Linked DNA regions of Drosophila melanogaster. The protein of the gene in region 2 interacts with the protein of the main gene of each other region in a biochemical or structural test. Each region holds a gene or a part of one and is shown on either strand. Other genes may lie near its edges. The genes, in order: dpr16 and DIP-gamma.

Region 1 (7,152 bases), about 24 Mb from region 2:
GCTGAAATAGAAAACTCTGGTAATTTATTCAATCCGATGCTCGGCAAAATTCTTCGAAAATCAAGGTAAAACCAAGCCATGAATTAGACAATTTGATAAAAGCTATTTGCACAGACGATGTCCCGGACCAGTTGTAATTTCACAGGGGAAAGGAGTTCCATCACGCATCCGACCTGTTGAACGGACAACCCCCACCCCATGCACGCAAGAAATTTAATCAACTCGAGACTCAGAAACAGAAACAGAGACGAGTTAGCCGACCCCTTCCAATTAGGACGGCCTAGAAAATATGCCAGGCATTTTCATAAACTAAGCAAAAAGCGAGGCAAACATCAAGAGCGAGCAGAGCGGAGTCAAAATCTTCACACGCTGCGTATGCGTAATGAGTTGCTGGCACCGAAAGCGAATACGAATGCGAGATTTCCTTTCGCGTGACAGGTGTCTGACAATCATGGGAGCGCGTGTGTGAGCTCGACTAAATGAAAATTTGCACTGCACGATTAAATTAACTCGACAAGCTTATAAAAATCGTGCCAACGAGTTGCCAACGACAATGCAGCCAAGCAAATCTCATCATGTAAATTAAATTTGGCAAACGCTTCACTCGACACTTGCGCAAAAATGTGCGAAATTGAATTAACTATGCATGCAAAAACAAAAGCTTAGCGCCACACGGAGCAGCAGAGCCATGAAACTTGGAACTCAACTCGACCCATCCCAACCCAACTTAGCAGTTCGGAATGGAGCTGAGCACGTAGCCAAAAGTTGGACAGGGGTGCAGGGATTCGGTGTTCGGTGCTCAGTGCTCAGTATCTGGGATTTGGAACGGACTCCCATGGTAAACAAAAGTTCTCCAGGGCGTTCCTGTAAGCGATTTTCCCGCGGACGCGAAAGCCAACGGGATCAAGCGATTCGGACTAGTTGCTAGTTGCACAATTGGTTGCCTAACGGCGGGTATTCAGATGTTTCATAACATCGATTTGGGGTGTTAAAGTGCTAACGGCCCTATGATTGGCCTCGAAGTTGGAATCTGACTACAATTACTTCCTTGAAAACAAAACAAATTTATTTGGAAGCATGAAAAGCATAAGTCAAAAACGCATGATCAGATAGCTATCTATTAAATGCTCTTATTATTATTATATTATAAAACTTATACAATGTTTTTACTTATTTATTTCTAAGTACTTAATAGATGTTTCATCCTAGAACAAAATTCACCCAAAACTTTCCACAAAATCCGTGCGTAGAAGTGTAGCCCGGAATGTCGTGTCGGCATCACCCCAAGTAAAAGAAGTTTACACTTACGCGCTCGCATGCCACGAAAGCTGACAGCTGCCAGAAACGCCAGCAGTATGCTGGCAGTTCCCGGACTCCTCCCGCTCCCGGCCAGGATGCCTGCCCCTCGTCCACCTGGAGTTCCTCCTGCGCCGCGCTCCCTCTGCCGCCAGGACATTCCGCTGGGCGAGGGCATCGGCAACTGTCGGATGTCGCACCTGGGCGGAACGGAGCTGGGATTGGTTTGGGATTAACGTTCAGATTTCGTATTTGGTTTGGTGCTTGGTATTTCGTATTTCGTATTTCGTATTTATTTCGCACAGCTAGTTAATCCAAGTTTCGCCGACTCAAGTAGCATGTCATGCTGCTGCGTGCTGTTTGCTCCGCGTTGTTATTTAATTATTTGCATTGCTTTTATGAAGTCTTCTCGGTTGAATTTGCATACCGCACTGTGCCGGAGGAGCAGTAGTTGTGGTGGTGCGGACGTGACTGGGCTGCTCCGCCAGTTGGCCAGGATTTCTTCTATTCCACCGAGTCAGACCGCACAGAACGTATGTTTTAACTTATTTCTTGCTTTATTTGGCAGGCCAACCGCAGCAGCCAGGCTAGAACGGCAAAAAGGAAAAAAAAAAAACAAAATATAAGTCTGGTCCGAGGAGCGTGGAGAGCAGCAAGGAGAAAACCAGCAGGATTCACTGCTGTTAGCATTCTATTTATGTGATAAATGGATATTTATCCGGCTCTGGCTCTGGGCGTAAGTTTCGGCCTGGCTTGATTATAAGTCAATAAATTAATGAATTGCATGACCCCAGCCCAGTGCTCTTCCCTTTGCGCCCTCCATTAGTTCTAGTTCCTCCACTTCTGCTGAGTTTGGCAAATTTTTAATGGCTTGCTCGTTATTTTTTGTTGGCCAAATAGTCGTTTGGCCCACAAAACTGTGTCGACTCCTCTAAATGAATGCCAGAGCCCCATTTATCCGGCTCAGAGTTTCCCGAGCTGCCGAATCGAAGTCCCCAAATTGCAAAAAATGGGAACTCCTAATGCATTATTGCACTCCATAACACGGCCAGATTAGAAGGATGTCCTGCGATGCTTGCCATCGTGTAATTAGGGTAGCTAAGCAACAAATTGATATTTATTTTTCTACCAAGTCCCATTAACTTGCGAGATTTCCCTAATTCACCAACGGACAGACGGAGATTAGGGGCAAATGCAAGTAATCATGTTGGCGAACAGCAATACTTTTCTACTGAAATAACTTTATTTATTCATTTCACATATATATTTGGCTGCACACAATGATGGTTTATAGTTTAGCGGACAAAAAATCATAATGCTTTCGAAGAGGATTGAGTATGTATAAATCACAATATATTCCACGGGATAGAAATGAAATATATGAGCAGTGGGCAAGATTACTCAACCAATAATTCTAACGGAGGTGCACAGGCTAAGCTGAGTGGTGAACTATGCGAAATCTTTTAGATACATTTAATGCAAAGCTGCTTAGGAAACTATCTGCAAAATATATTTACAGCTGCTAGGTTAAACGTCGGGATCCTTTCTCAATTTCCCCACCGCTTCCTGGGAATAACTATGGCACTTTATCCGCTTATGCTTCGGTTTCTTTTTGTTTTTGCTAGGCTAATTGAAGTGCAATTGGGGCGTTAAAAATCCTTCAGAAAATATAAATATAATTTGAACAAATTTCTTTGCATGTGTAAGTAAATAAATTTGTTTAAATAATTAAACTTGCCACCGTGTGCCAAATTTTAAGCTGCTTTTTCGACCGAACTGAGATACTAAGCCATTTATTTACTCAATGAAACACAACAATACAAATTTATAGACTGTGCAATATTCTCTACCCACCAAAACATAAGTTAAAAAAAATATACTATCACAAGCCACAAATTCCAAACCTAAAGATTGAAGGCCGTTTATAAATTCTTTATTTTGTGGTTTTTTAATCCGAAATAATACGAGGATATTGATGACTTTCTGAAATACTGAGGCACCTGGCTCTCCCACTTCTTTGCACTTGTCATTCAAACTGTACTAAAACTGTCTTTATTTGAAGTAAAGTGTTCTCTTCTTTCACACACTTGATATCTGAATTTCTAGAGAAATGCCTGAGAATTGTTGATATTTCACCTCGTGATACTTGATACTATTGCCGAATTTCTGCGCGCTGGCAAGCACAAAATCCTTTTCGCGTTTTCAATGTTTTTTTTCAGTTTTTTTGGAACAGCTATCCAGTTTCTTGGCCAATACTGGCACCTGTTTCAACACCTCGACGACTATTGATTTGCCAGCAGCCTGGCTGACTCCACCCATACAGCTCTGGTTTTCCACCTTCTGCCTGCCCGTCTAATGATACCAAAGATGCGAGGACTAACGTCTTTGCACATTAATGAGTTTTTAAATCCATGAAGCAGCACGATTCCAGGGTGGGGCTCAGCTTAGCCAGCCTCTAATCAGATTACATTTCCATATATTACATCATATGCTCTTCAATATAATCAAATTGAAATAGATGGGGGCAGACAATAGCACGTGCCAGCCTCAGAGGGAAGGGGTGGGACCCCGGCCAGGTCACATCTTTCACTCCATTCACATCAGTCAAATCCTTCACGTCGTCCTCCGTTCTTTTCATTTCCCACGCTTCGTTGGTAGTCGACGACGCCGACGACGCAATCAACGTTTGACGGCGTTTGACTTTCGATCTTGCCTGGCTGCCTCCTTGTGGCCCTGCCTTTGTATCTGTATCTGTATCCGTTCTAATGCGCAGCAATTTAAAATGTGATTTTCCTTGATTTACAAAAGACACATTGCACTCACAATCGTAGCTCACAGGATTTCACAGCACTCTTGCGGAAATCGAGGGCGGGCATTCTCGCACTTCACTTCGCGACACTTTACTCTGTGGCGCGGCGGGGGCGGAGGCGGACACGCCCACATTCTGGTTGGCACAGATACGCACAATGAAAGACCGGCCGGCGATAAATCAGAATCCGTTCGAGAATCCGATTTTGGGTGCGGAGGTGCCAAGTGCATTCACTTTCGAGACCCACAATCGCGCGCCGCGAATAATTCAAACGTATGCTTCCTTATTAATGATTTCCGAAATTTGCGCTTTGTTCCCGCTCTACGTCCGCCGCTATGCCATGCAAATTTGAAACTGAATCCGGACCATTTCGCGATTCGATTCAAAGTGTGCCTGTGCCAAATGGTTTGGTCCATTTTATCCACTGGGATGATTTACCCCTCCTGATTCGTTCGTACCGTCCCGCAAGGTCCCGATTACCAGTGTTCCCATGTTCCCCTTCTGTTGCCACGACGAAGGACAATGTGGGAATGGGAATAGGTCCGTTTCAACTGGGGTGATTTTCCCCTCCTGATTCTGATTCACAGCGTTTCGTTCTTCGCGATTCGTTCGTTCCGATTTACAGTGTATTCCATCTTCCCCTGTGCACCTATTCCCACATGTCTACTGTTGCTTGCTTGGAGTTCCCCATGCAAGGACGATGTGCGAGTTTGGTCGCTGTTCTCAGTCTACTGTTAAGGGATTCTGTTAACCGTTTCGAATCAACAGGCAGTTAAAACCAGTATTTACTGGCTTTTACTCACGAACAGAGGCTTGTGGCCACAATAAATAATATAAACTCATAAAAAAATAAATAAAATAAAAAATAAATAAATAAATATTTAAATATATAAAAAAATAAGTAAATAAATAAATAAAAAAGTAAATAAAAAGTAAATAAATAAATAAATAAGTAAATAAATGAACAAATAAATAAAATAATTAATTTAATAAAAAATAATTAAATAAATAAATATAAAAAAATAAAATAAAATAATAAATAAATAAATAAATAATATAATAAAAAAAGTAAAAGTAATAAAATAATAAAATAAAAAAATAATAAAATAGTAAAATAGTAAAATAGTAAAATAGTAAAATAGTAAAATAGTAAAATAGTAAAATAATAAAATAATAAAATAATAAAATACAAAATTATAAAATAATAAATAAATAAAGAAACACATAAATTAATAAATAAATAAATATGTAAATAAATTAATGAATAATTCACATAAAATAGGAAATAAATAAATAAATAAATAAATAAATGAATAAATAAATAAATAAATAAATAAATAAATAAATAAATAAATAAATAAATAAATAAATAAATAAATAAATAAATAAATAAATAAATAAATAAATAAATAAATAAATAAATAAATAAATAAATAAATAAATAAATAAATAAATAAATAAATAAATAAATAAATAAATAAATAAATAAATAAATAAATAAATAAATAAATAAATAAATAAATAAATAAATAAATAAATAAATAAATAAATAAATAAATAAATAAATAAATAAATAAATAAATAAATAAATAAATAAATAAATAAATAAATAAATAAATAAATAAATAAATAAATAAATAAATAAATAAATAAATAAATAAATAAATAAATAAATAAATAAATAAATAAATAAATAAATAAATAAATAAATAAATAAATAAATAAATAAATAAATAAATAAATAAATAAATAAATAAGTAAATAAATAAATAAATAAATAAACTCAAAAAAATTGGTTGTATATTAATGTATACGATACATTTTAATACATTACATTTAATAGATTTTTATTGAAAACTCAATGCTTGCAAATCCACATTTTTCTTCACAAATAAACAAAGATGTAGGGAATATATTTGTTTGATATCATTGACCGTGTTATATAGAACAATCCTTTGTGCATCACCGAAACTTAATGATTCTTGACAAGCTTTTAGATTCGCTCGTAAAATTTATCAAGTGAAATATTGTTGTATATTATGTATGCTTTTTCTACTTGACATTTGTAGAGTTAAAGGGTATACTAAATTCGTTGAAAATTAATCGCTCCTAGTATGCGTTTTCGACCCAAAAAAGATTATATATTCTCGATCAGATTTTTGGTTGGTGAATTAATTAATATTTTTCAATAAAAGAATTGAGCTATGCCGAAAACTGAATAACCTTCTTTGAGTATTAACAAGTACTCAATTTTTTCCATTTTATTCTCGCCCTATACGTGGCGCAATCGTTTTGCCTAGTAACCTTAAACTGATATTCGTCGAGCAATCTCGGGCTGGCTTCTTCCGATTCCTTTGCATATTAAATTCGCATTTATTTCCGCAATTCCGCAACTCGATTGTATTGCCGGCCTGAACAAACAAAGCCATATCTTCGCCTCTTGGGCCGCAGTTATTATGTTTCGTAGTGTCGGTGGGCGAAAGGTAATAAGAAACAAGTAACGACCAAATAATTGAGTGCACGCTGCACAAAGGATCGTCGCGTTGCGATGGGAAGGATATTTTTGTGATACGTCCTGCCCCGCCCCTGGGATCCCACCGTTCGCCATTGTTTGCCAACGGTTGGGTTGAAAGTGAAATGCATGTTTTATTGGCATCACAAAACAAAGGCTGAAATGGCAGACGGAGAAACTTAAGCCAACAAAGAGGTTTTGCATACCTTCACAAAGGGTATTGCCAATCCAGTAATCCAGTATGTCCTCTAGATCGAATGTTTTTCGAGCCACTAAGAAGCACATTACGTAAGCTGAAAAGCTAGCGGGCAATTTAATTTAGCAAAGCATTATTAATTTTTTTTTTGCAACTCTGAGGGCACTGTGCATGGGATCCAAAAATTATAATTTAAGATTCTGAAGCAGTAACCAAAAATTATTTATATATAGTCGACGAACATATGCAGATTTGCGTAAGATCAGGACGTTCATATGTTCTCATCAGAGAGAAGAATTTCTGTTATTTCTGATATTCATCTTGGTGATCTGATTGATT
Region 2 (6,853 bases):
GATTATTTTATTGTAGTGTAGGGGCAGAATTTCCTGTGGCCATTTGACGCTTTTGTTGTTTTTGGCCAGCGGTATTATAAATCTTGCCCGCAATGTAGAAAGCGATCAGATCCTTGCTCCTTCTCCGCCTCCTTTTCGTGACCCCACCATCCACAGCTCGTCGCATCCAAAAACAATGGCTTGGAACCCTATTAGCGTAGAGCCACCCCCCTTGGCAGAAGATTCTCCACAGGAGTGTGTGGAGTTTTCAGGGGTCCGGCCATAAATTGCAACCGCCAGGTGAGCGGTAAGTGGGTGCGGTTTCAGGTGTTGCGAGGGGGCTAATGGGTCACTACTTGATGTATCACACAAACAGACACAAATGATATTTATGCTGCCGCAGTTGCTCCTTCACCAGCTCCATCTTCAGCTTCTCCAGCTCCTTGGGCTTCGGCGGAGGAGCCCGTGAGGCTTCTCACGGCCAGAAGCCGCGCTCTGCTTGGTGTAATAAAAACTAAAATCCGCACAACAATATGTGCGAGGATAATGCCATTTCCGTTTTATGGGATATCCTGTTAGTCCTCCCCCAACCCGCGTGCGAGAGAGTGTGTGTGTGTGAGCTTTCGCATGTGCGAGGCTTCCTCAAGGAGCCCCAAATCTGAGCGAACGAGTTACGACTACACCGGGCAAAAATGAAGAAGCCTGGAGGAGGACTGAAGGAGCTATTGCGGTGGCCATTTCAGTGATGGGTTGCGATAGGATTCGCAGAACGTAAAGGCCACGGTGGCATGCGTGCGAGTCGGGAATGAATGGATCAGGGATCAAATTTTATGGATTGCCCTGGCGCATACTATACTATACATACATTTGTGTGCACTCACATGATAATGAAGTCAGAAGTAAGGAATAAATTCCACAAATTTCATTAGCCTGAAAAGTGGGAGTCACTGGGAATTTAAAGTGCGGGGATCCGATAACAAAGGATTGGGGATTGGGAAATTATTGGAATTCGGATGCTGGCAAGGTTAAGTGAAAGATTTTCCTCCCAGCCTTGAACCAAATTAATTTATTAAGTCGACAATAAATCGTTGATAAATGGCAGCCCAAAGGCATTTTAAAGCTCACATTCACAAATCGTATTGTGCAAGCGCAATGAAATTTAAGCTCAAGTGATTTTAGCAAACGGCAGCTGCACGTAATGAAATTTAAGTAAATACTTCCGAGGTGAAATACTAATCAATTAAAATAACTTATCAAAACTGAAGCGAGTAAAGAAACCCCCCCCCCCTACATAGCATTCCCATCGCGGACTAACAATCAGCTAATCTGTCTTACATATTTCCATATCGCCTCGGCTTCAGCATGGATTACGATGGTTATTCATTAGACGCATTCCTGGACGCCCTTGGCCAACAACTGGGACGCTTGCTGCGGTTTGCCGCAGGACTTTCGTCCTTCTTCTTGCTACCCCTGCCCCAGACAACTCAACTATTACCTCTCTCTTTCTGAGCCATAACTAGGCAAACCTTTTTTGCTCAGTGTGTGTGCGGAACGGCAGAGGAAAAACAAACGTCCGACTGCCGGGAAAATCTGTATAAGTGTGTGTGTGTGTGTGTGTGTGAAGTAAAAAAGCGCAACCGGAGAGGAGACGGATGGACAGCAGGAGGAAGAGAGAGGGGCGTTGGGCGATGGCAGGGCTGGAAGCGGAAAGCCGGAGAGTAAGAAAAACCATAACTAAATCCATTGCCATAGGAAAATCCAAAGCAAAGTCTGCGATGCAAATAGTAGAGATTATGGGACTGCAGATGTATGAAGAACGAGATGGAGCTGAATGTGAAACCCAAGGCGCGGCTGAGAAGGACCCAAAAGGGATCCAGGGAGGACGGAGGACGAAGGTCCCCGGCAGAAGGTGTTATGTGTACGTGTGTACGAGTGTATGAGGCACAATAAATCTTGCAAGGGTGCCGAATGGCCGGGCAAGGGGCCGGAGGCCTCAGGTCCTGAGTCCTGGATCCTGAATCCTGGGCATTGGCATGGATCTGAGACGGGACTTTGGCCTCCATTCTCTACGTCCCTGCTCCTCCTGGGCAGACCCACTGCCACCCAGTGCGCGCACGCCCCGTCAGTGAAAACCAAAACCAAATAAAACTGACATTATGCGAAAAGCGAAAGCCATAACTAAAAGTTGGATAACGTGGCCATGATGGAGCCGAAGTGGAGTGGGCAAGAAATCCGGAGCTGAAACAGCCGTAAAGTTGATACTAAACCAAAGAGCAGAGCTGGCAAAGCTAAAACAAATCGGAGATGCTATTGTCACGAGCTCTGGACGCGCAGGTGCCCTCATTTTAGTGATAGTGTGTAAAATAAATTATAGAAAATTATTGAAAAAATACTACTACTACAGAGTTACCAAACTAGTAAAGCAACCAACGATTTTTTCCGAAATCGGGTCAAGAATTAAAACTATTCCTTGCAATTTACATCAAATGCTAACAAGACTTTCTGGAAATGACTAGTAGTTTTATTTGGCAGTGTCATTAAACTGAGTTTTTCAGCTGTGCGAAAGTTCTTGTCTTCAGGTCTTAAAATATCGTTAAATTTTAATTTTTAAAGCAAACTTCTTTTGCCTAACTAAAATTGTTATAAGATATAGTTGGATTTAAACATTGGTGCCATTTTTATTTTGCAATTTTCAATTAATTGGTACTTAATTAGTACTCCAAGTACCTTATGAATATTACATTTTGCAATTGCTTAAAAAAATGTTAAAAGCATTTCCCGACCATTCGAAATGACATTAGGATATCATTCTAATTGCTGCCCCGGATAAACTTGATTCACTCCAACAGGTTTCAATTTGAACATCCTAGAAGCTCCTTATTGGATCATTAAATCAAGAGCGACTGAGCTGACCTAAAAAACTGAGAGGGCTTAAATGCTGCTAAGCGAACTGAGTTTGTTCCTTAATCGCCATCAGGACCAGCCAGAACCTCCCAGGACCACCCAAAAGGTAAATCCACGGCCCTGAGCTCGCGAATCCAAGCCACCTCGGGAGTGCACCACAATGGATTTGCCACAGCCCAACTCCATGGCACGAGCTGAATATTCTCCGATTTTACCCTTTCTGGGCGCTGGGCGCAAAATGTTGGTGGGGATACAGATATCGGGTATGAAAAACAGAAACAGGAAAATAGAAATGATAGCAAAGTTGCAAAGCGATGCGGTGCGGGCGGGCGGTCTGAAGGGGTTGCTGAAACGGAAATCGACTTTGGTAAGGAGTTTTTCTCGTACCTGTGAATCGGAATCTGAACGCTGGAGCTGCACCGAAGTTATGCAAATGTAAAGTTGTTCGTGCCTGCTCCTGGCTGCTGAATCCTGCCGCAGGATCTGGCACCTCCTTCTGCTCCTGCCGCTGCTCCAACTCCCGCTGTCAATCGAAGGCGATGTCGCGAGTGCTAATGACGTTTGCTTTGATTGCGCCCCGCATGCGAATCCAAATCTGAGCCACAACTCACAACTGTCATTTTCGCAAGGATACTCGCATATGTACGTATGTGCGATGAGTATGTAGAATAGGATGGGTTCTTGAGTGTCTATCTCAGCTGGTACTCGCAGCTCAGCTCAGCTCCTCACCGGAACTCTATTTATTTAATTTGCATGCAATTTTCAATTTTTATGCGGAATACTTGGCATTGACAGCAAACGATGCGCACATTTCGCATCGGCAATGCACAATAGAAATTGAATTGCAAAAATTTGTTTGCCCGTCCAGGGCAGCAGGCAAATGGATTGCGAACACAGTGGAATAGCGGATTTTGAGGGCTCTTCACGTCTTCACGCCAATGTCACAAGGAGCCGCATTCAAGGAGCCAGCGCGAGAGCTGAACGAGTCGAAGAAATCGCACAATTTGGCGGCGAAGATGTCAAGTATACGCCGCGTTGCCAGTGCCACACTGACTGCAATTACAATGGTGGCCAACAACAAAGACGGTATGCCGGTACGCCACACACACAGACACACAGAGGCATACACGGGCACATACGACACACGGAGTTGAAGCCACAAATACGTACGCTCCGCTCCGCAGGATCCGGAGGAGAAGTCTGAGGCGAAGACAGGCGACAGATCCTGGTATTGCCCCGTCGACAGTGTGCGAAATAAATGCACGCGCACACACACGTTCACGAAAAAATCCCGCGAAATTTGGCGACAAAAACCAAAACAAAACAACAACTTCGTGCGCTTGGGATCACGATGAATGTTCGATGCGAAATGCACAAATGCAGCTGCTCTCCACCACCGAACGCTCCGAAACTGAATTCGCAACTGAGCCAGCATGAAAAAGGATGCTGCCATCTGGAGCCGAAACGGCTGGACGCACGAAGGATGCCGACGAGCGGCACGATGACGCGGATGCTTCGGATGCTGGCTCGCAGAGCTTTTTTGGCGAGAGAGCGAGAGGAACTGGCATTGGCGACGTGTGACTTCGTTAAATTTCTGCGGCGACAGCACACAAAACGGATTCGGAAGCGGAAGTAGCAAGTAAGCGAGCAAGGAGCGCTCTGTGGCCATGTCTGGGTGTGTGTGTGTGTGTGTGTGTGGGTGTGCCTCTGTGTGTGTGTGTGGATGGGCGCGCTGAGTGGGTGGAGTGGCGCTGAAGTGGGCGAAGTAGCGCCAAGTGGCTGGCTAAAGTCGACTCGCGGAGCACGACCAGAATGGAAGTTTTGTGTTTGTGTTTTGCAATGCCAACTAAACACACATTCAGCTCCATACACACACACATATGTATGTCTATACATATATTATAAGTCAAACATACCTACGCCGTGGCATCAATATTCACATTCGCACTTGTGCGAGTATTTTCTGATTTGCTGCAATCGCGTTTGCCAACAACGAACTTGGCTAACAACAACAGCTGCCGGAGTCACAGTCGCAATCGTAGTGGGGTATTTTCCAGCGGATGTTTGGTAAATCTTTGGCGCCGGATACCAGCGCTGTCTTCCCCGGAGTCGCAATCCCGCCCCCTTAGATCACCACCCCTCGCGGGACACGCTTATACTCTTTTCATATCTTTCTTGCTCTTACACATGAAGGAACTTTGAAAAAACAATGTAAAAGTATACAAATTTATATGAAAACCTTTATTTAAAATTTTTTACTAAAAAAGGCATTTCATTTATTATCTCATATGCAAGGTATTTCAGTTTAAATATTACATTCATTTTATTTGAAAATATTCTTTTAATAATAGCGTTCATCATTATTCCTATAAAAAAAATTGTATTTTGTAAAAACTTGGACATTTTGCTCAGTGTACTAGCTTACACCCAGGGGTATGTATGTGTTGGTATCGATAACTAATAAAAGCATTACATTTATGTTAGAGTCAAGCGCCGTGGCCCCTTATTTTCCCCCCACTTCTGTTTCGTCCTGAGCAATAATTCAGTTTCCATTTCTCTGTTTTCTTCAGTTTCTCATTTTCATTTTGCAGCCAGTGCATGTGTGCCTCGGCACTCCTCTCACCCTCTCCGTTTTCCCAACACTTTTGCCACAGTCATGGCCAACTAATTGGAAACAGTAGCCAGCTGCGCTTTCTTGGCCCATTTTGTTGCTGCAGCGGCTTGGAGAGCTGGATCCTGGTGTCTCGTTTAGTTGCCAATTGCTTAGTTGATTTTCATTGTCTGCCCTTTGGGCCACACTCACAGGTGGCTAACAGGGCGATGGTATGGGTGGAAAATGTAGGGGTTTTTCCGCTGTATTGGCTTGTAAGTGAAACGATAAACGCTGTAGCTCGCTGTCATTAATTGGCTGCCGGTTGATGTTTATGTCGTTAGCTCTTCGTTACTGCAAAGAGGGAAAAGCGGATGGGACGTTTAATAATCTCATCGCATTCAGCTGGGTTTTCACTGATTTTCCTGATCTTCTTCAGCCGCTTTTAGCTTGATATTCAATTAACTTTTGCAGGACAAATCTAGGCGGGATCTGTTAGGGACAGCCAGGCAGAATGTTAATTAATAACGTTTATGCTCGTATCTGAGTATCTGTGTATCTGGGCATCTGGGTATCTGGTTACTGCACACTGGTTACTGGGGTATCTGGCTGATCTGGTGCTGTGCTAATGCTTAGGCCGGGCCAAAAGAACTATTCTCCATTTCCTCGCCTCAAACGGCTTCCGTCTGATCCTGAGAGCCATGTCTTCGTCTGCAGCCGTTCGTCCTTCGAGCTGTTTTTGTCAGGCTGCTGCTTCTGTTGCTGCTGCTGCGTTCACCTGCCAGCGAGGGCGAAAAGAAAATATCCGGTTTTCAACCGCAAACTGCACTTTTCTACCCATTGTGCCTGGCTCCATTCGTTATCCTGCCACTGCTCCTGCTGAGTGGCCCCATCCCAAGCCCACACAGACGGAGCAAAGGACACGGACACGGACAGACACACGTTCGGGACATTGAATTTGTTTTGGGTTTTGATTTTTCGATTTCAGATTGCACGTTTGAATGGCCAGGACCAGGACCAGAGCAGACCAGGAACAAAATCAGAATCACAACCAGAATCAGATTCGGGAGCTTGTTAGAAGGACCGAAGAGCGAAGCAAGGAAACGGGTGCCGACCCAAGTCCGACAAATTCAAGTCTGAAGTGTTGACTGCCACATTTATCGCAGCTGCATCTGCAGCCACATGAAAATATTCGAATTGATTGCAAAGTGCTGGCTGGCCATTCAATAAACTAATTAAATACAAGTGGCGTATAATTAATTTGCTGTCGAGCACCGATTTCTTGGGGATATCCGGGGAATTGAATTTTTGTTTATGCCCATCCTTAACTAATTAAATTCACCAGCCTGCAGAGTGGGAGCTGCTTTTGCCTTTGCCTTC

What was found.
Region 1: the proteins of DIP-gamma (region 2) and dpr16 form a complex in vitro, tested with the Drosophila melanogaster proteins (one study listed by BioGRID).

The regions. Positions count from the first base shown.
Region 1 is NT_033777.3:5,148,254-5,155,405, reverse strand, and holds the start of dpr16 (defective proboscis extension response 16), read right to left. Parts: upstream 4,499-7,152; 5' UTR 4,120-4,498; intron 1,884-4,119; 5' UTR 1,475-1,883; coding exon 1,309-1,474; intron 1-1,308.
Region 2 is NT_033777.3:28,966,061-28,972,913, forward strand, and holds the start of DIP-gamma (Dpr-interacting protein gamma), read right to left. Parts: upstream 4,313-6,853; 5' UTR 3,271-4,312; intron 1-3,270.